Linked DNA regions of Pelodiscus sinensis. The protein of the gene in region 1 interacts with the protein of each later gene in a biochemical or structural test. Links are inferred from orthologs where the notes say so. Each region holds a gene or a part of one and is shown in the gene's direction. Other genes may lie near its edges.

Region 1 (10,078 bases):
GACTGTAAAATGTAGAAAAAGGAACACATCAGAATACAACTAATAAAACATAAATAAGTTTCCTCTGAAAAACATGTTCATCCAAAAGCCCCCGGCACAGAATCTCCCATTCAGCTGTGCATCTTAATTACTTTTCTGCCTCCCATTTTGCTGGCATACATACACCACCTTCTCTGTAGTGTAAGGACAACCTAAACAGAGTCCAGGAGAAAAAAAGGAAGCGGGCCATGCAAACTTGTTTTGTGGGAGGGAAATGAAGCAAGAGAGAGACCTGCCTTAGGCTACTGTAGTAACTTCCACTTGGTAGCATCTTTCATAGCAGGGTTACAATTACATGTCTGCCCAAAGGCCAAACCCTTGTGAGAAGAGCCATTGAAGTCTGGTGAGTAAAGCAAGCAGGATTTGATTGGCTCTCCCACTCCCAAAGTAGCTGTAGCCTGATTCCTCAGCACTCTGTGCCCTATGTAGTCATTTCTTCTCGTGAAAAATGCTGCCAAATGAATGGTAGAATTTTACACCCATTTTGCACATGTATAAGGGCCACTGATTTCCACAGCAAAACTTGATCATTCTAAACAGTCCCATTGCAGGTTCTTAAGTGTTTTGCTAACAGAACTGGATATAAATATGTGCTTTCCTGGATCAGGGACTAAATAAATAAGCTGTAGAGAATCAGGAACCTACACTTCCTTCCTTCTTCTTACTGGCCAAGGCTTGAATGTTTATAAAACGGTATAGTAAAATAGAATTTCCAGTGAGATCTGTCAGAAGTGAGGGCATGAAGGCTCTGTATATCTTCTGGTCATGTTGCATATGTTCTGTTTGTTGGAAGAAATACATTCTTACTATTGATCTCCATTCTAGACCACCTCCCCCGTGGTCATTATCCAAATCCCTTGAGTTCAAGTGAGAATGGAGCGCTACAGAAAGAGCCTGATTTCAATTGTTCACATGGCCAGACTGTATCTGAAGGGTTGGCAAGTAGAAAGAGCCTGTTGAGACTGAACCAGAGGTGAAAGCAAGGGGGTGCGCAGCTTTGGCAAGAGCTGGCTGAGCTGTGGCAAAAGCCAACAGGGAGCTATTGAAAGAGCTGGCAGGGATCCGGGTTGCAATAGGACAGGATCTGTAAGAAATTTTAAGTTACTTTCACCGCTGGACTGAACACATTTCACTCTGGAAATCAGTAAGTGAATAACTATGGTGTCTGCTCATACAGAGGCTCTCTCTTGCCTGTAGCTGTCCTACCAAGGAAGGGGTAACACGACATTTCCAGTAAGCCGGCTCTTTGTTGCTTAATTTCCTTCCAAAATCATCTCAGAGAGTGCAGCTTTTCAAACGTTTATCTTTCTGATCTACCCGCAGTCACACCCCATTAGGAGAAGTCTGGTTTCCTCTGTCACAGTTTAACCCACCGGGTGCTTGTCAAATTCTAGTAAAATAAATCAGTCTTGCCCATGGCTGTAAGACACTCAAAGAAGGCCCAATAAAACAACAGGGAGGAAGATCAGTGAACATAGCACGGGCTCCAGCTGAACCAGCCTGTTCTCCCCTCCGCAAACCTTTCTGACACATACTATTTTATAGCACTGCAGACTATGGGACCTGATCTGCTCTGGTTTTGAATTAATTCCAAGAAATTCCCTCTTTGCATGCTTGATGCTAGGGCACTCCAGACTTGCAACCTTGTGCAGCCTTTCTTAGTGACTCTCACAAACTCAGCAGGGTTCCCGTTAAATGGGAGACCTGAGAAGAGTATCCCAGTGCTAGGTAATCAGTAGTGAGCCATTTGTGCTCAGAGTCACTGTTGAACTGATGCCCCAATGCACAGCGAAGGAAAACAAATTTTTTTGGAAGAAATGACTGAGGTTCCAACATTAACGCTCCTGGGCAATGTTTGTTAGAACCGTGGTGATAGTCCCACTATCCCTGCCAAATTATAACTTAGATTACATTCTGCTTGCCTAATTTTCCCTGCATTAGGGCATTCTCAGCCTCCGAAGCAGCTGCTGCTTCCCCCCCCCAGAGGTGGCTGCCTTTCAAAGGCAGAAGAAGTGATTTCTGTACAGAATTAGTAAAAAGCATGTTGTCTTCTGGAGGTACGGTGCGGCATAAGGCAAATATTATGTATTGGGCCAATCCCTGCTATTGTGAGTGGGGTGTAACTCTGTGACCTTACATTCAGAATAAATACCGGTGGGACCTCCCTGGTCCAGCACCCTTGGGACTTCAGCACTCCCGAACCAGGAGTTTGTCAGACCAGGGGAGGTCAAAGTTCTCCTGCTGGCCCTACTCTCAGGCTCCCTCCGGCTGTGGGGCTCCCCAGGTTGGGGCTCCCCATCCTGCCACTGGCTGTGCCAGGGCTCCCCACCCTGCTGCCAGAGCCACTGTCACCAGGGGTTCTCAGTCAGCCCTGCTGCTGCCAGGCTCCCAGGCCATCACCAAGCTAGCTGTCACTGGCCCAGCTGGGGCTCCCCAGCCACCACGGGACTCCCAGCTGGCTCCCGCTCCCAGTCTGCAGGGCTCTTTGGTCCAGCAATATCCATGCTCATGCCAGACTATAGGTGTTGGCGGACCAGAGTGCCGGATTTGAGAGGTTAAACCTGCATAAAGAAGCCATTGTAAACAGATAACCAAAACAGTTCAGCAGCTTCCACCTCAAACACTGGCCCTTGTCTCCAGCCAAAACAAAGCCACCATAGCAAATCAAAATGCAGCTGCAAAAATCTTTCTCCCATGCTGCTGCTTCTGCATGAAAGGAGCACACTGTGAAAAACTGTAAAGCAACCACATTGTCCTCTTCTAAATCTCTTATTAAAACCAACCAACACTGGAGTGTCTACTAACTGCTTAGTAATGGGCTGCTGAAGCTCTGTGACTGCTGCTAAGTATGTAGTCCTTATACATAATCATAACAGCCTCATTAATTGCATGAGCCCCCTCCAGCTGTTGGTTTATTTTAAACTGTCCATCTTATTATTAGATCTATTCTACACTTCAGATGTACACTGACATATCTACATTGCTCAGGGAGCTGAAAAATCTGCACACCTGCATAATGCAGCTATGTAGGTATTCAGGCCTATTGCCAGGTATAGACACAGCTAGGTGCTGCCCTCGCTCAGGTGCTAGCAATGGAAAGAAAACCCTTATATCACTGTCGGCTGTGTCTACACTACAGGTGGGCAAACCAGGTTGTATGTGTGGCAAGACATTTTGTTTACTAAACTTAAAATACAACAAATGGTCTGGTGGCACTTTATAGACTAACAAAACATGTAGATGGGATCATGAGCTTTCGTGGGCACAGCCCATTTCTTCAGATGACTGGAGTTTGTTTACTGTGACTGCTGGTTTTCGCCCATGTAGTTTTTTTTCTACCAGTACAGGGGGACCTCCCTAGTCCAGCACCCTCAGGACCTGAGTGGTCCAAACTACTGTACAGGGTTTGCCAGACCAGGGGAGCTCAGGGCTCCCTACCTAGCTGTAGGCTCTGCTACCGGCAGGAGCTGCACTCCCTGCTTGGTCCTGCTGCCTCCAGCCCCTACTGAGGTTGCACACCCCCACCATGCCACTCTGACTTGGGCTGGGCTCCCCACTGCGCCGGCCCCGCTGAGGCTGCACTCCCCCCTGCCAGCCTAGCCCAGCATAGGCATCGCATGAAAAGCCAGCTGGGGAAGGCAAGCCTCAGCCCTGCCCCCTTCAGACCACTCCCAGCTTGATCCTTCTGGGCCATGTGGAGAGCCACAGCTGCCATGCTGCAGCTCCGGCCCGGCTCTCCTTGGTGGGCAGGGAAAGCCGGGCTGCGTCTCCTGACGGTGGCCCCAGCCTTATTTTGGGAAGGCTCTGCCTTCCATTGCCTACATTACTGATCGCCCATGCGGCCCAGGCTGCGCTGCTGAACCTGGCCAGCAAGGGCTCTCTGGTCCAGCAATATCCATAGTCCTGCCGGACGATGGATGTTACTGGTTCAGAGTCCCGGATTTTAGAGATTCAACTCAAGTGACACGCATGTAAAGCAAGGGCACATGAAGTGAGGTGCATTCTGATTTCACACAATATTGACCGTGAGAGCCGTGTGCTCCCTCTGCCTATCACAGTGCCACTACAGTTCAATTGGTACATCCTACAAATTCTAGGAATGAAAGTTCAATTAGCAAAACTACCCTATGTTGGCTACAACAATCTTGCAGCCCACTGAGATGGAGGGCCACTTCATGCAGCCCACTCACTAGCCTAGGTCCCCCATCACTGATCTACACCATGAGGTTATGTCAACATAGCTGCAGCCTGTACCTCTGCTTTTATAGTCCTTATACTATAGACATGGCCTTATATAATAAAGGATAATTTGTTTGTTATATGCATGCACAACACCTAATATCCAGGGTTGCTCATACTTGATCAGTGGCAGACAGAGGCAGATCACTTCAACAGGTACTAGCCTAATACAAATGATGAATAATAATACAGGTAGTATCTTTCTGGGAAAGTGGATGGTAGAAAAAATAGTCTAATGATGCCATCTACTGGGGAAGTGGGAAATTGCTTTATGCTGGATACATTTACAGATTCAAAATAGGACAAAATAAAAAACTGAGCTATTTTTGCTCTGTCGCCGGTTCCCCCAGGTGGACACTTTAGTCCCAGACAAGAGCGACTTTATTCCAGAATAATTATGCACTTTGGAAACAATTATTTGGGAGTAATTACTCTGGAATTAAACCACTTGTGTTCAAGAACAGAATGTCCACATGGGCGGGGAGGATTATTCCAGATGACCTCAATCAGAGTGGAAGGATGACTAAGGCTGTCATGTGAAGTCAGTTTCCTTCCATAGACAAGTCTGGGCAGGGAGGGGGAATACTTTGACAGCAGCATGACTAGCCGAAGCAGGGCCTCCCCTACCACTGCGCAGCCAGGTAGCCCCCAATTTCTCGGCTCCACAGCGATTTACCTCAGTACTGGAGCCCCGCCGAGTGGGGACCCACCGTGGCGCTTCAGTTTTCCTGCATGAGGAGTCCTTCGCCCAAGGGAGCGGGCACTAACCCAGCCCCACCTTTGGGCTGTTCAAACGGCTTGAGAGCTGAGGGCCTGGCCCAAGGGGAGAGATGTCCCCCATGTGACCCCCCCATGTAGGATTCTCCCTCTTCCACTGCGTGTTCCCCCAACATGAAGGCGTCTCCCCTTTCCCATCCCCATGTGTCCCCCCACGAAGGAGTCTCCCCTTCCCCTCCCCCCATGTCCCCCCCACGAAGGAGTCTCCCCTTCCCCTATGTCCCTCCCACGAAGGAGTCTCCCCTTCCCCTATGTCCCTCCCACGAAGGAGTCTCCCCCTCATGTCCCCCCCACGAAGGAGTCTCCCCTTCCCCTCCCCCTCATGTCCCCCCCACGAAGGAGTCTCCCCTTCCCCTCCCCCTCATGTCCCCCCCACGAAGGAGTCTCCCCTTCCCCTCCCCCCCATGTCCCCCCCACGAAGGAGTCTCCCCCCCATGTCCCCCCCACGAAGGAGTCTCCCCTTCCCCTTCCCCCATGTCCCCCCCACGAAGGAGTCTCCCCTTCCCCTCCCCCTCATGTCCCCCCCACGAAGGAGTCTCCCCTTCCCCTCCCCCCATGTCCCCCCCACGAAGGAGTCTCCCCTTCCCCCCCCACGAAGGAGTCTCCCCCCACATGGCAGCCCCGCCCCGCCCCAGGCGGGAAGCAGCCCGCTCCCCCCACAGCCGGTCATCGGAAGGGCGGGGGAGGCGGGATCTCGGCCGCCATCTTGGACCCGGGCAAGCCGCCCTTGCCCCCCGTGGTTCCCTTTGCCCCTGTGCCGCGTAGCCGGGGAGCAGGGCGAGGAGGGAGGGGCGAGCTGCCGGGCAAGCACCAGGGAGGCGATGGGGTCCCGGGCCCGGGCAGAAGAGCCCGCGGCGGGTCGGGGCCGCTGCCCGCACTCAAGATGGCGGCCGCGGCGTGGGGAGGGGGCGGGGCGGTACGGCGGCGCGGCGGGGTCAGGCCGGCGCTTGGCGGGCGCGGGAAGCTCGTAGGCCGCGTCTGGAGCTCCCGGAGCGTTGAGCGCGAGCGCCCGGCCCCAGCCGCCGCCATGCACGTCATCAAGCGAGGTGAGAGCCCCCCCACTCGGGGGCAGGGGCAGCAGCCCCGGCTCCCTACTGGGGGGGGCGCTCAGCGGGTCCGACCCCCCCCCCTCGGGGCTGCCCCTGCTGAGCGAGTTCCCCGCGCGTCTCCTCTCTGCGGGGGGAGGACCCCGCCTGGGGGGACCCCTACCCACAGTGCCATTCCCGCCCCTCCGCCTGGGGGGGCCAGCTGGCACTGCGCCCCCGGGTGCATGCCCCCCCCCCCCCGCCCTGCCTTGGCACAGGGCTGCAAAATCCCCTTTCACGGGTTCATCGGTTAACCAATGAACGGATCAGGCTGGAACCGGCCCGTTAACCTGTTAACCCGGTTAGGGTTAACCACCGGCTGCAGGCTCCGGTTAACCGGTAAGGATGCTGGTAAGGGATATGCTCCCGGTTAACCTGTTAACCCGGTTAGGGTTAACCACCGGCTGCAGGCTCCGGTTAACCGGTAAGGATGCTGGTAAGGGATACGCTCCCGGTTAACCTGTTAACCCGGTTAGGGTTAACCGCCGGCTGCAGGCTCCGGTTAACCGGTAAGGATGCTGGTAAGGGATATGCTCCCGGTTAACCTGTAACGTCCCTGCTTTGTATTCCTGCTACTTCCATAGCTGGCACCACGCTCCCCTGGAGGACCGGACCCCTGTCGCCTCCGACTCACCGCCCGGAGCATTTCGATCCCCACCGATCCCCGGTTTCTGGAATGGGGATCCCCACAGGCGGCATGAATATTCCCCTCTGGCTGGATTCTTCTGGTGCTGCTCACAGAGCGGCGGAGCAGAGTCCCTGGAGTGCTGGGGAGGGCACAGAGATACCTTGACAGCCATAGGTGGCCCCCCCAAAGGCCCCTCTCAAAGGGTCCCCCCCAAAGGCCCCTCTCAAAGGGTCCCCCCAAAGACCCCTCTCAAAGACACTCCCCCCCAAAGACCCCCTTCAAAGACTCCTGCTACATGTGGCTGTCTGTGTAATTCATGCTGCTCTCTATAAAGGCCTGACTCTCTGTCTCTCCTTTCCTCCCCCAACACCTGGTAGATGGGCGCCATGAGCGCGTCATGTTTGACAAGATCACTTCTCGGATCCAGAAGCTCTGCTATGGACTCAATGCCGACTTCGTTGATCCTGTGAGTTGTTTTGTACCCTCTCCACTTTCCCCCAGTCCTCCGTGGTGACCATTTGTGATCAGGTGCCTCTCAGTTATTTCCCCTTCATTCTAAAGGGAGGTGTTTGTATTCCCCATACCCCTATTGTGAACTCTTGGCAACTGCTGCTTTTTTAATGGTAACCATTGTGTTTTTCTTTTCTGTGTACAGTAGAACCTTTGTTGTGAACACCTAAGGAATGTTTGTAACTTTGGACAAAATGTTATGGTTGTTCTTTAGAAAGTTTACAACTGATTATTGAATACAGCTTTCAGACTTTAATAAGCAGAAGAAAAAAAATCCATTTTCCTTTTTTAAAAAAAATAGTTTACATTTAACACAGAACTGTACTGTATTTATTTGCTTTTTTTGAGGGAAGGGGGAGGAGGGGCATAGGGGAGCTGTCTCTGCTGCTGCCTGATTACATACTTCTGGCTCCAAGTGACACATGTGGTTGATTGTTCAGTTTGCAACTACTGTAACTTGATTCTTTAAAAAAACAATGAGTGGTCCTGTGGCACCTTAGAGACTAACAAAAATGTATAGGGTTACGAGCTTTTGTGAGTAAAACCCACTTCATCAGATGAGTTGGAGTGGAAATAACAGAATCAAAGATATAAATATATAAAAACAGCAAAAGCAGTTACCTGTCAATTGTAGGATCTGTGTTAATGATGCTAATTAAATGGGCTGGATGTGTCCCCTTCATAGCATTTGATGTGAAAATGTGAATGTCAAAGGTGGGGAAATTGGCTCTATAGTGCATTAACCAGTTAATATCGTTATTCAAGCCCAGGTTAACAGTGCCATATTTGTGAATGATGCTGTCATGGCTCCTTCCCCACTCTGGCACGATAAATGCAGAATTGGCGGCCAGCAAAAGTACTCCAAAATCTTATCTACCAGGCTTTGGTATAAAATCCCCCCCCCCCCCCCCCAAATCTTAACAACTTAGATGTCGGGGATAAATTCTCTGCTGCCACCACCCAAATATTAATAAAGCAACCAAGGAGAGACTACTTGGGATATCTCACCCCTAAAGTACAAACCAGGACACAAAAATTAACTAATACCAGGTTAATAAAAAGAAACGAGAGAGAACTTATATTATCACCACAATATTTCTGTTGCAAGTATAATGATTAGATGGAATAGTAACAATATAATATACTCACGGAGGAGAAATTTACCATGGGCCAGGAACTTAGTTACAAAGGAGAGCAAAACCCATTTTTAAATGCACAGACCTGATCTCATTTCCCAAACCATAAAACAATAAAATCTAACGGATTTATCTAAACTTTATCCTACTTACAGACTGTGAAGAGTATTTTCTTAGAGGGAGACATCCTGTCCCCTTCAATAGCTGGGGAGAAAACTCCCAGAGACAAAGGAGGGAAACCCAAAAATTCCTTTGTCCCAGTTTGAAATTCCTACCTACATTTCTATTGGCTAACTCTACCTGAGTTAGGTATAGTTAATCCCTTAGTCCCCAGGCTGCTGGCTAACCTCATGATCGTGATAGATGCTTAGAATGCTATCAGTGCAATAGAAATATGTAGTATATTTCTCAGCCCTGGGTCTCAAATAGCTTTACAAAGAGGCAGTAGAATCATTATCCCTGTTTTACAGTTGGGGAAAGTGATGCCCAGAGAGGTGTAGCAAAGCAAGGAATCTGATCTAGGTCTCTGAATCCCTAGTGTAACATCCTGGTGACTGGGCTAATAATCAGGGCTCGACAATTAAGGCAATCTACTCGCCCGTGGTGAGTAGATTTTAGCCCGGCGCGGTCTGTGCATGCGCAGCGTGTGGTTCCGTGCAGCTGGCGAGTGGGGCTCACCGCCGCTTAGCAAGCCTTGCTAATAATAATAAAGTTAGTTTTACATGACAGACCATTATTGTTTCTATTGCTTCAATGCTTGAGTTGCATTTATGGGCCAGGATGCCTTAGTGCTAGGTGCTGTACAAACAGGACAAAAACTGTCCCTGTCCCATAGAGCTTGCAATTTAAGACCAGTGTTTGAAAATGACAGTCTGACATACCCAGTTGCATGTGAATGTTTCAAATGCATGTCAAAATTGCCATATTAGATAAGACCCAAGATCCTCTTGGTTCAGTACCCAGTTTCTGACAGTGACCAGTACCAGTTGGCTTAGAGGAAGGTGCAGGAAACACCCTAATGGGTAGATGTGAGAGATTGGTTTAAGCCCTGAAACATGAGGTTTTTATTTCAGATGTAACAAGTAAGCATCACTGTTACCAGCTGGAGCAGCCCCCACCCATAGCACTGTGCAGCGGGCCCAGCCCAAGCAGCTCATGGCGAGGCGGTACCAACTAGGCTGTGGGATCCTGGTTAAGCATTATATTTAACTGATTAAATGGGATTTTACATTCCTAGTTTTAATATCCCTTTCCAAACTCTCTTAGCATTAACTATTTGTAATTTAACAAATTAGATGCTTGATCAGGCATGTGAAAAGTCAATGCTGTTTGGAGTTTGAAAATTCCTGAGCAAGTTCTGGATTGGATGTGGCATTTCAGCTTTTGCACTACCGCTTCAACAGGGCACATTAACATTTAGCAAGTTAACTGCATACAAAAACTTGTGCCTGATTGGATAATTCCTGATGAGTCATTTCTGTACTACTCCCTGTTCCCTTTCTCCAAACTATCACTAAGGTTGTAACATTAAAGCCTGGTGCTTTCCCTCCATCAAGGCAGCTCAGTCTAAATCACTTTATCATCTGCTGGTTAAAGTGAGAACAATGAGAAGTCCTGTGGCACCTTATGCTCCAATAAATCTATTAGTCTATAAGGTGCCACAG
Region 2 (10,330 bases), on another chromosome or scaffold:
ACCCCTGCCCCAGGCCCTCTTTTTAAAGTAGTGCCACATCCCTACATTAGCAGAGAAATTGTGTTGCAAGGCCTGTTGTCATGAGACCAATCCTGCGGCGTAATGAGTGCTCCAAGCTTCCATCAACTTCGTTGGGTATTTAGGATCCAGAACTCCTCACAGCAGTCACACAGCACACCACAGGACTGGGCCCTTAGACCTGTGCCCCCTGCCCTCATTCAGGCAAGCACTTAAGTCCCTACTCAGGTCTCGGTAAAGTTGACCCTGTGCATTAGAGCTTTGCCCAATTTGTCACTACTATAACTCCACTGACACTGGTAGAGTTACACAAGGGATAAATGTGATGTTTGAATGATCCAGATTTGTATGACTTACAGCAAAACAATATTCACCATAATACAGCATGTACCTGTACTGTTTTGCTTACAGTAATACAGCTTCATGATATTCTTTATCTTAGTGACAAAACCACACCTAAATGACTTGTCATAGAGCAAGATGTAACTTTTTATAAGATCTGAAATATACAGCTCTACTCTAACTCTTCTTGGAGTCCAGCAGTATTTACATGAACTCAAAACTTTTGCAGGTGTGACACATCCCTTCCATTATATTTGGAAACCTTGACAAGCCACATCCTGTCTACGTTTATTTATTGTTAATTATCTGCAAGTCATGGTGTGCTAAGCACATTCTAGTTCCGGGGTAGGGAGAAGAAAGTGGTGCCACCTTTTAAATAATAAGAGCAACCTGCATTTAACGCTGCATGAACATCTACTCATTTTTAAATGACACCAGAGTGGGATCATTTATTGTGTTACAGAAAGAAGAGGAGGGTCAGCAGCAGCTCTCGTTTTAGAAGTTTTGGCCTATGCTGTTTTACACAGTTGTGTAACTGAGTGAAAAACTTGCTTTTATTTCCCCGAAGGGGAGAAAAACATGTCTGAAAAAATGCACTTCCCAATGCCAAGCAATATAGCAGCCGCAGCAGGTGTGTTTTATGTAGTTTATTCCTATAAGAAAGCAAGTGAGAGTCACGACTTTGAGAGCTCATCCTGTGCAAACTTGTCCCACAAAGTATATGTAATAATCTCCACCCTTGTTATGTGACCCGTATTATTATTGCATGAGTTGACATTGCACTAAATACTGTATAACATTCAGGGGGTTATCAGCTCATATAATAATAATAATAATAATAATAATAATAATAATAATAATACATTATCATTCATCTTAATTATCTATTATATCGGTTTCCAATTCTTTTTCTTCAACCTTCCTGCAAGGCTCCACAGCTGGGTCTTCCTATCTCCCCTCCTGCAATGTATAAGGGCCTGTCTAAATTGCCACTTCACTGTGTTGTAACTTTCTTGCTCAGGGATGTGAAAAAACACCCCGGAGTACAGCAAGTTACAGTGTGGTAAAGCATCAGTGTCAACCGGTTCCCTCCCAGCTCTGGGAATCGTGCTCCCAGTGCTGTTAGCTACACATCATAGAGATGGTTTGCTTTCAGTGCTGGGAGAACTCGCACTCTCTTGGCGCCAGTGTGGTGACCACATTGCTGGGTTAAAGGACTGCTGTGGTAGCACTACTTTGGCTGTGCTTTAAACTTACAAGTGCCAACAAAGTCTTCTACCTACACCTCTACTGACTGTTTCTTTTGTTTTCTCCTATTACTTGCGACTTTCCTTTTTTCTTTCTTATACTATCCCTCTTAACTTTAAAAGAGTCTCCCACCTCCTCTGCCTTAAAAAAAAAAGCCTTCCTCAATCACCCCCTTCACCCCCTTTATTTCTTTCTATTGTTTTTTCTACTTTTCTGGTGCCTGACCATTTGAAAAAAGAAGAAACATCCGAAATCAAGTGGCATACATCACATATTTTCCTAGAAAGTCAAAAGCAGCAATCAGAGGCTGTCTACACTACACTCCTTTTTCCGATTGTTTTTTCGGAAGAGGCCTTTCTGAAATTTGGCCTGTTTACACTGGGCCAAATTTCAGAAAAACCTCCTCTTTCGGAAGAGCCTTTCTTTCTTGTGAAACGAGGTTTGCAGGGCTTCCGAAAGAGTATGTCTGCTTTTCCGCAAAAAATGTTGCATTCCATGGACATGGCGGAGTTTTTCTGGGATACCTCCAGTATTCCGGAAAAAACTCCATAGTGTAGACATAGCGAGAGCAAGTGAGTGAATGAGCGAGAATGTGTGTGTGTGTATGCGGGGAAGGGTATACTCTCCCATGGTCCACCCTAAAGCCAAAGTTTGGTCACATGACAGCAAAATCTGAGATGAAAGTGACAGTACAGCTTTTCTTCATGTGCCTCTAATCCTTCAAAAATTTAAGCACATATATAACATATGTTAAAACTATTCCTGTGCATGAATTTTGCATGTTTAAGTCTTTGCAGAATCTAGGCTTTTGACCTTGTCTATGCCAGAAGAGAAAGTATAGATAAGAGAGAATGTCATAGAGGTATACAAAACAATGAACAACACAGAAAAGATCAACAGGATTGTCCTACTTCACTTTTTGAATTATATCTGAATGGGAGAGCATTTAATGGGAAGGTAAGACATATAGCATGTACAAATTGCTGACTGATGAAACTCATTGCCACAAGATATATCTGAGGCATTGAAAAGATTTAAGAAATATAGTTATACTACAAGACTTACCCGGCATTGCTCAAGTCGTTAACTCAATTAATTATTGTGTTTTGGAAAATAAAATATTGGAGCTGGGGATGAAGGTTTCAGTATGCAGGCTGCCCCAGGGAGAGAGGACTACCTTAGCCCTCTCTTTGTGCAGCAACTTGGGGACAGGTGAGAAACACCTCTCTATGGCCACTGCAACTTCAGTGGGCACAGTTGGGAGAAGGGTACATGTCGCTCTACTGAACAGGTCCAGGTTCATCTGTGTCCTGCGCTCCCCAGCCAGAGTGAGAAGTTCAGCAAACTGTGCACTTTCCCCTGGGGTAACAGCCAGCAATATTCCTGTATGAATCCAGGGGGTGGAGGAAAACTTCAGCCCTTCCCATCCTCCCTCTCTAAAGGATGACTGGGAGGTGAAAGGCTTGGGACTTGGGGCAGTTTGGGGAGGTGGGGAGACACCCCCAGCCAGCCCCTTTCACATGCCTGGTGATTATCTCTTTTCTGTATGATTTTATATGAACCTGTATGAATGGGGGGGGGGGGGGAGGCCTGCAGCCCCTCTACCCTCCTTAAATGGCACCTGAGGGGTGAGAGACTCAGGACTGGGGCAGTCCTGAATGGGGGTGTGTGCACCGCCTACCAGCGCCTTTCATGTGTCTAGTGATGCTGTCTTTTCTGTATGGTTTTGTAGGAAGCAATCCCACAACCTGTTTTCCAGGCACAACCGAACCTTTACCTTGGTTTAAGTTATGGTAAGAGAAAGCTGCACATTGAATTTGGCAGCCCTAGCTCTTACGGTTTAGGAGTTCTTGAACCAACAGACACACAGACAGATTCAGGCGGACACAGATCGACAAACTCTCTCAAATATATAGTGAACAACCCACCATTATTTTTACAGACATCATGTTTCAGGACATAAAATATCACTAATTCAGGGGCTGTGTCTAGACTGGCCAGTTTTTCTGGAAAATCAGCCACTTTTCCGGACAAACTTGCCAGCTGTCTACACTGGCCGCTTGAATTTCCGCAAAAGCACTGACGATCTCATGTAAGATTGTCAGTGTTCTTGCGGAAATACTATGCTGCTCCTGTTGGGGCAAAAATCCAGTGTAGACAGCCCAGATTTGTTTTCCGCAAAAAAGCCTCGATTGCGACAATGGCGATCGGGGCTTTTTTTGCGGAAAAGCGCGTCTAGATTGGTACGGATGCTTTTCTGCAAAAAGTGATTTTGTGGAAAAGCGTCCGTGCCAATCAAGACGCTCTGTTCCGAAAATGCTTTTAACGGAAAACTTTTCCGTTAAAAGCATTTCCGGAAAATCATGCCAGTCTAGACGTAGCCAGGAGGAGTAAAGACAAAATATCCTGCTGGGGCATCTGAGACAAAGGGAGCACAGAAGAAGGGTTAAATCTTCTCTGGTTCCTAAACTACTGGGACCATCCACCAAAGGAGTACTTCCCTGGTTCTTGAGTTTATTGGTGCTTGGTGGGAGCGGGAGGGCATTCCCTAAAGTGGTCTGCAACATGACTTAAGTGACCAAATAGAAATAGTGGAAAAACTAGGACGGGGTGGGGGATATACTACCCCTAATTATAAAAAAGCCCAGAACAGCAAGACTGTCCCTATGTAAGGGGACTGTTACCCCTTACTAAAACTCTGTGGGAGTTTTTTGGTTTGCCAGCTCCCAGTTTCAGAAGGGACATGAGTCTGACAATGGAAAGCAGCCAACACTCCAGCTCAGCCTGATTGACAGGTTGGACAGGCCAGTGAGGAAGGGGAGAGGCCAGGCCCCGTCCTCCCTGTGAGCTGGGATTGTTCTGACTCTCTCTGAGCAAACAGAGAGCTGAGAGACAGCCCAAGCAGTGCAAGCTGTGTGCTGAGGGGCAGTTTTTGCAGCAGCTGAGCCAGACACACACGGCTCAAGGAGCGCAGACCCTGTGTTGAGCAGCAGACTGGCAGTGCTCAGAGAGCCAAAAGGAACAGAGAAGCAACACAAGAAGCTAGAGACTGGCCAAGAAGCTCAGCCTGCAGCTGGATGTGGTGAGCAGAGGGGAACTGCAAAGTGTGGGGAGAGGCTCTGGACTGGGAGAGGGGTCTGGCCACTTAGAGCTTGAGGCTGTGTGGTCACTGCCAGAGCAAGCGTGTCCAGCCTGCAGCCCCTCCCCCCCGCAGCACATCCAAGGCCTCTAAGGGGCCTCTAAGGAAGAGACTGTGGACTGTCCTTACACTCTGCAGACTGCTGTTTTGATGTCCCTGTGCTACAGAGCAGGGCTGTGTGTTCTCATTTAACCTTTCTCATTTTTTCTTATTCTTTTCTCTTTAATCAGTTGATGTTTAATAAATTGTATTTGCTTTGAACCTTATGAAGTGATCACTGGGCCAAGGCGGCCTGCAGTGTAAAGAGAGCACCTCGGACTGGGGACACCCTAACTCCTGCCCCTAGTGACTACAAGGTCGGGGATTAAGCCCCAGGAAACCTGGGCCCAGCCTTGTTGGGGTTTCAAGGGCTCTGCTACTCAGGAGGGTGGAGGGGGAGCCCTCAGGAACAGGGGAGCCATGGGGTAAAGGAAGTGGGAGTGGGGACTCAGATCCTTTCGCTGGTCCATTTCACCGGGGTGGTATAAACGCCAGGAAAGTTCCCCACAATAGCGGAATCATTCCCCCGCTTACACCTAGAAAATCTGGTCACCCTAAACAAGACAGAGGTTTTCAATCTGTGGTTTGGGAACCCTTGGGCACCCACAGACTACATCTAAGATTTCTAAGGGTCTGCACTGCCATTCCTATTTTTTTATGGATCCGTACATTTAAAAAGGTTAAAAACCATTGGTCTGTGGGAATCAGCAGCTCTGGAGCGACAGAGCCACCCATCCTGCCCCTTCCCATATGTACTTTTTCCGAGTCTGCAAACACCCCCGTGCGATAGACTCTTATCCCGCTTTAAAAGAGGGGGAGAATGAGGCAAGACTGACCCTCTTCTCGCTGCGGGAGAGACAATGCAACAAAAGGTGCGAAAGGGAGGGGGCAGACGCAGGGGGTGGAACGTCAGGACAATCCAGGGGCGTGTCCAGCTGGGGCTTTGGGCCAATGGAAGCCTCCAGGAGACGTGCAAGTGATTTTTGAAGTGGATTCCCGCTTGTCTAAAAAGAGGGGCGTGGCCGGCCTAAGGCTTCTGACCAATAGAAGCGCAGAGCGGTCGGAATTTTCGGCGGCTCCCTCGTTTGTGACAATGGGTAGCGCGCCGCGGCCGGGCCTCGAGCCAATGGGAACGCAGCAGCGACGGCAGGTTTCGGGGCGGGCGGAGTGCCCGCTGTTGCGATTGGGCGGCCTGGCGTTCTGGCGCCAAGTTCGAAGGGAATATAAAGCGTCCCCGGGGCACCCACCACCCCTTGTTCCCCCAGCACGACTGAACCGGAGCTTTCATCGCGTCCCAGCCGCTGCCTCTCTCTGCTCGCCATGATCCCCGCCCGGGCCCCGTTCTCCGTCCGCAACGAGCAGCCCCGCCTGTCGCCCATGAAGAACCTGGTCCTGACCGACAAGGAGAACACGGTGAGTGGCCGCCCCCCCCCCCTCGCCGCCCCCACCCCCCCCAGCCACGGGCGCGGCGCCTCTCACCAGCCGCTCTCTGTCTCCGCAGCCCCCCGCGCTCAGCGCCACGCGGGTCCTGGCCACCAAGACGGCGCGGAAGATCTTCCAAGAGGCGGACGCGAAGCCGGTGAGTCGGGGCCGGGGGGAGGGGAGGGGAGCCGGGGGGATTCGGGCGATCGGCCGGGCTGGGCTTGGGGAGGAAGCGGCTGTGAGCGCGCGCGGGTTGAGCTAGGCGGCAGCGGGAGGCTGGTCCCGCCGCTTTCTGCCTTGGCGCCAAATTCTGCGGCCCGCCAACGCGCGGGAGCCCCCCCCCCCCGCCTTCTTCCTCTCCTGGGGTGGGGAGCACCCCTCCCTCCGCGGGGGGGCCCCTCTCTTCTCCCCCCCTTCCCTGGGGTGGGGAGCACCCCTCTCCTTCTGCGGGGGGGGCCTCTCTTCTCCCCCCCCTTCCCTGGGGTGGGGAGCACCCCTCTCCTTCCGCGGGGGGGGCCTCTCTTCTCCCCCCCTTCCCTGGGGTGGGGAGCACCCCTCGCTTCTCCCCCCCTTCCCTGGGGTGGGGAGCACCCCTCTCCTTCCGCGGGGGGGGCCTCTCTTCTCCCCCCCTTCCCTGGGGTGGGGAGCACCCCTCGCTTCTCCCCCCCTTCCCTGGGGTGGGGAGCACCCCTCGCTTCTCCCCCCCTTCCCTGGGGTGGGGAGCACTCCCGCTTCTCCCCCCCTTTCCTGGGGTGGGGAGCACCCCTCTCCTTCTGTGGGGGGGCCTCTCTTCGCACCCCCCTCCTTCCGTAGGGGGCCCTCTCTTCTCCCCCCCTTCCCTGGGGTGGGGAGCACCCCCCTCCTTCCGCGGGGGGGCCTCTTCTCTCCCCCTTCCCTGGGGTAGGGAGCACCCCCCTCCTTCCGCCAGGGGGCCCCTTTCCCCTGGGGTCGGGGAACAAAGGCCTTTTGTGTACACTAGTAGGTCTGCATGGGCCAAGTACTGCACAATAGTTTAGTGCCCTTTAGAAGCTACACCTCTGTTGAACAGGTTACCACATGCCATAGACAAGCCCCAACCCAGACCTAATCGTGCCCCCTGACTTCATCTACAAAATAGTCTCATCACATGCACCTAAACTCCACGGGTGGGAGGGGCAAGGGGCCTGGCTGCAGCCAGCAGGCTAGACTCTCTGGGCATCTGGGGTGGAGAGAGATGTGAAGGAGGGACTGGCACTTGGCAGCAATGGCCAGAGAAGCAGAGTGAGCTGGGGCCACGTTCAGCTGCCCCCACTGCTGCCTGTGAGTATGTGTGGGAGGGGGGTTGGCCCCTTGGCCCTGCAAGTGCCCCCAGATACATCCAGTTGGGGAGGAGGGTGAAGAGGCAGGGTGGAGCAAGTGCCCAAAAGAGGAAGGGTGTGGCCTGGGGCCGAAGGGGTTGTCCCAACCCTTCCTTGGCCTGAGGGGGGAGGGTCATGTGGCTACTGGCCCCTACGTTCTTTCCCCGCTCCTAGTTGTCCCTGATCACAATGGGATGCAAACTAGTGCATCACATTCATGGTTACGCTTTCCTCTTCCCAACATCCACAGTGTCTACCAACACTGGGGACATGGAAATCAATTTTTCTTATTGTGTCTCCTTTAGTTGAAACCCAAAGCAGTTACTCAAGCTCCTAGCAATCTGGAAGATGAGCCACTCCTACGGGAGAATCCCCACCGGTTTGTCATCTTCCCCATCCGGTACCATGATATCTGGCAAATGTATAAGAAAGCAGAGGCCTCCTTCTGGACAGCTGAAGAGGTGAGAGGCTCCCATGATGGTATCCCTGCTCTGGTTGTTTCAGTGGACATGCCCACTGGATATTCACCGCTCAGGCCAGCTCATAACAAAGTGTGTGTTCCTAGTAGTATTAACATATTTACATTGCAATAAAACCTGTGGGACTCAGTCATGATCAGGAACTTTTGTAGTAGGTGCTGTACTAATGCAACAAAGATGGTCCATGTCCCAAAGAGTTACAGATGATGTGTCGAAGTGCCTCGCTACCTGTGCTAATGTGAGGGTTTCTTTTGTCAGCATAGGTAATCCATGAGCTAGATCCATGGAAGAATTCTTTGATCTGGAGGTTTAGCTATTGGCCAAAGGTGCAAAAAAGTCATTCCTTACCAACATAGGCCAGCTTAATTTTCTAGTGCTGATCTAGCCTAAGCTTGTTAAGAACCAACAGTGACTGTATATTAAGTGTACTAGAGCCTTAAAATTGTTATATTTAATGCAGGGGTGTGCAATAATTTTTACAGGAGAGCACTTAATGAATTTTGATATGTGGCCTCAGGCTGCATCTTGCCCAGCCCGGATTAAAATAGCTTTGGAAAAAGTGACATAAACCAAGAACAACTTTCCATGGTTCTAGGAACCCATTAAACTTCATAATTTGATTTACTGCAGTAATATTTTATGTTTAATACACAGTATAACATTGCTTTATATAAATGCATTCTTTAGTAGCATGATAAAATTGTAAGTGCCTGCTTTTGTTCTTCAGGTTGATCTTTCCAAAGATATTCAGCACTGGGAATCCTTGAAGCCTGAGGAAAAGTACTTCATTTCACATATCCTAGCCTTCTTTGCAGCAAGTGATGGCATTGTAAATGAGAATTTGGTAAGCATACAGAAGAGAAATCCTGAAGTAGAAATCGTTCTGTTAACAAAGCTGCCCAAATAAAACAATGAGATGTTTATCTCTTGAGCGTCTTCTGCTTTAAAACCTATTAAATCAGTAGTCATTTTTCAGGAGGTGGGGAGGGTTAGGAAAAGTTGTGCTTAGTAAAGGACTCTTATGGACTTTTTTGTAATCTAAGCTTCCCCTATGGGGAGAAGAGGATGATTTTGTAGTAAGACCAACAGATTTGGGAGTCTGTTGACCTGGCTGTATTCCAGGTTGTGGTGTGAATATTTTTTAGCGGGGGAAGGGGATCACTTCCACAATCTTGTTTGATTCATCTATACATGGGTGCAGGTATTTGTGTGTCTCATAAAGCAATTGAGACTGAAATCACATTTGTACTTTGCTTTCAAATTCTTGTTCATGAGCTGCAAAAGTGCAGAATATTACTACAGCTCTGTCAAATTTGGCATTGTCCTGCCTTAGATTAAGCAGAAATGAGAAAAATGCAGTGTTTCTTTAAGGCCAAATACTCAAGGAGTTAAGATGAGATCAAGGCAGAACCTGAGATTCCTGACTCTCAGGAGGATGCTATTCTAGTGCACTGTCCTGGGCTTAACTTCTGAACATTAAAACGTTTGTCACACCATAGGGGTGTAAAGCAAAACTGGAGATACTTGTGGGTTTAATAGCATTAAATTACAATTTAAGTGGGTAATCCTTTCTGCAACAATTACTTGGTTTCTCCTCTAGGTGGAACGATTCAGCCAAGAAGTACAGATAACTGAAGCTCGCTTTTTCTATGGCTTCCAGATTGCTATGGAAAATATACATTCAGAAATGTACAGTCTGCTCATAGACACTTACATTAAAGATCCAAAAGAGAGGTTAGTATCACAGTGAAATGTCCAAGTTGATGTAATATGGTGGGTTCTAATAGTATTGCCTTTTCTAAATCTTGAAACAATACAGAAATGATTTGAGAATTTAACTAGCTTGGCAAACATGATGTGAAGAACAACTCAAGTATAATAAAAAGCAGGAAGGCTCAACAAACCATCCTAGGAAGAGATTAAAAGCATAACCGGTTTAATTTAGTAACTGATACATGAGGGTATGAAACCAAATTTGTCAAGGGAGCCAAAGTCAATCTATATAGATACTTAAAATTGGTCTACTCATAATACAATAGGCCCATGGTATTGGCTAGTTCATGGATTAGGTGGCCTAGAACAGTTTCTATGGGAATTATTACAGCTTGTATCTTTTTGACTTTTTATAACATTCTAATGTACATCTACCCATCTAATGATTCTGTGCCATTGTGAGCAGGTTACAACTATTTTTCAACCTGTCTTGTAATAAACTGCTCATTTCTGACAGCTACACATATACAAAGCTGTCTGCTTTAAAACTTTGGGTTATTAGTGCTAAAACTCAGCTTGAAAAACAAAAACTA

What was found.
Region 2: the proteins of RRM1 (region 1) and RRM2 form a complex in vitro, tested with the Homo sapiens proteins (3 studies listed by BioGRID and IntAct). The link is inferred for Pelodiscus sinensis from reciprocal best matches to the Homo sapiens genes RRM1 and RRM2.

The regions. Positions count from the first base shown.
Region 1 is NC_134711.1:326,124,653-326,134,730, forward strand, and holds the start of RRM1 (ribonucleoside-diphosphate reductase large subunit), read left to right. Parts: upstream 1-5,946; 5' UTR 5,947-6,082; coding exon 6,083-6,101; intron 6,102-6,459; exon of another isoform or gene 6,460-6,479; intron 6,480-7,145; coding exon 7,146-7,234; intron 7,235-10,078. UniProt on the Homo sapiens protein: Provides the precursors necessary for DNA synthesis. Catalyzes the biosynthesis of deoxyribonucleotides from the corresponding ribonucleotides.
Region 2 is NC_134713.1:27,354,893-27,365,222, reverse strand, and holds the start of RRM2 (ribonucleoside-diphosphate reductase subunit M2), read left to right. Parts: upstream 1-5,958; 5' UTR 5,959-6,106; coding exon 6,107-6,199; intron 6,200-6,287; coding exon 6,288-6,365; intron 6,366-7,850; coding exon 7,851-8,006; intron 8,007-8,751; coding exon 8,752-8,868; intron 8,869-9,624; coding exon 9,625-9,758; intron 9,759-10,330. UniProt on the Homo sapiens protein: Provides the precursors necessary for DNA synthesis. Catalyzes the biosynthesis of deoxyribonucleotides from the corresponding ribonucleotides. Inhibits Wnt signaling.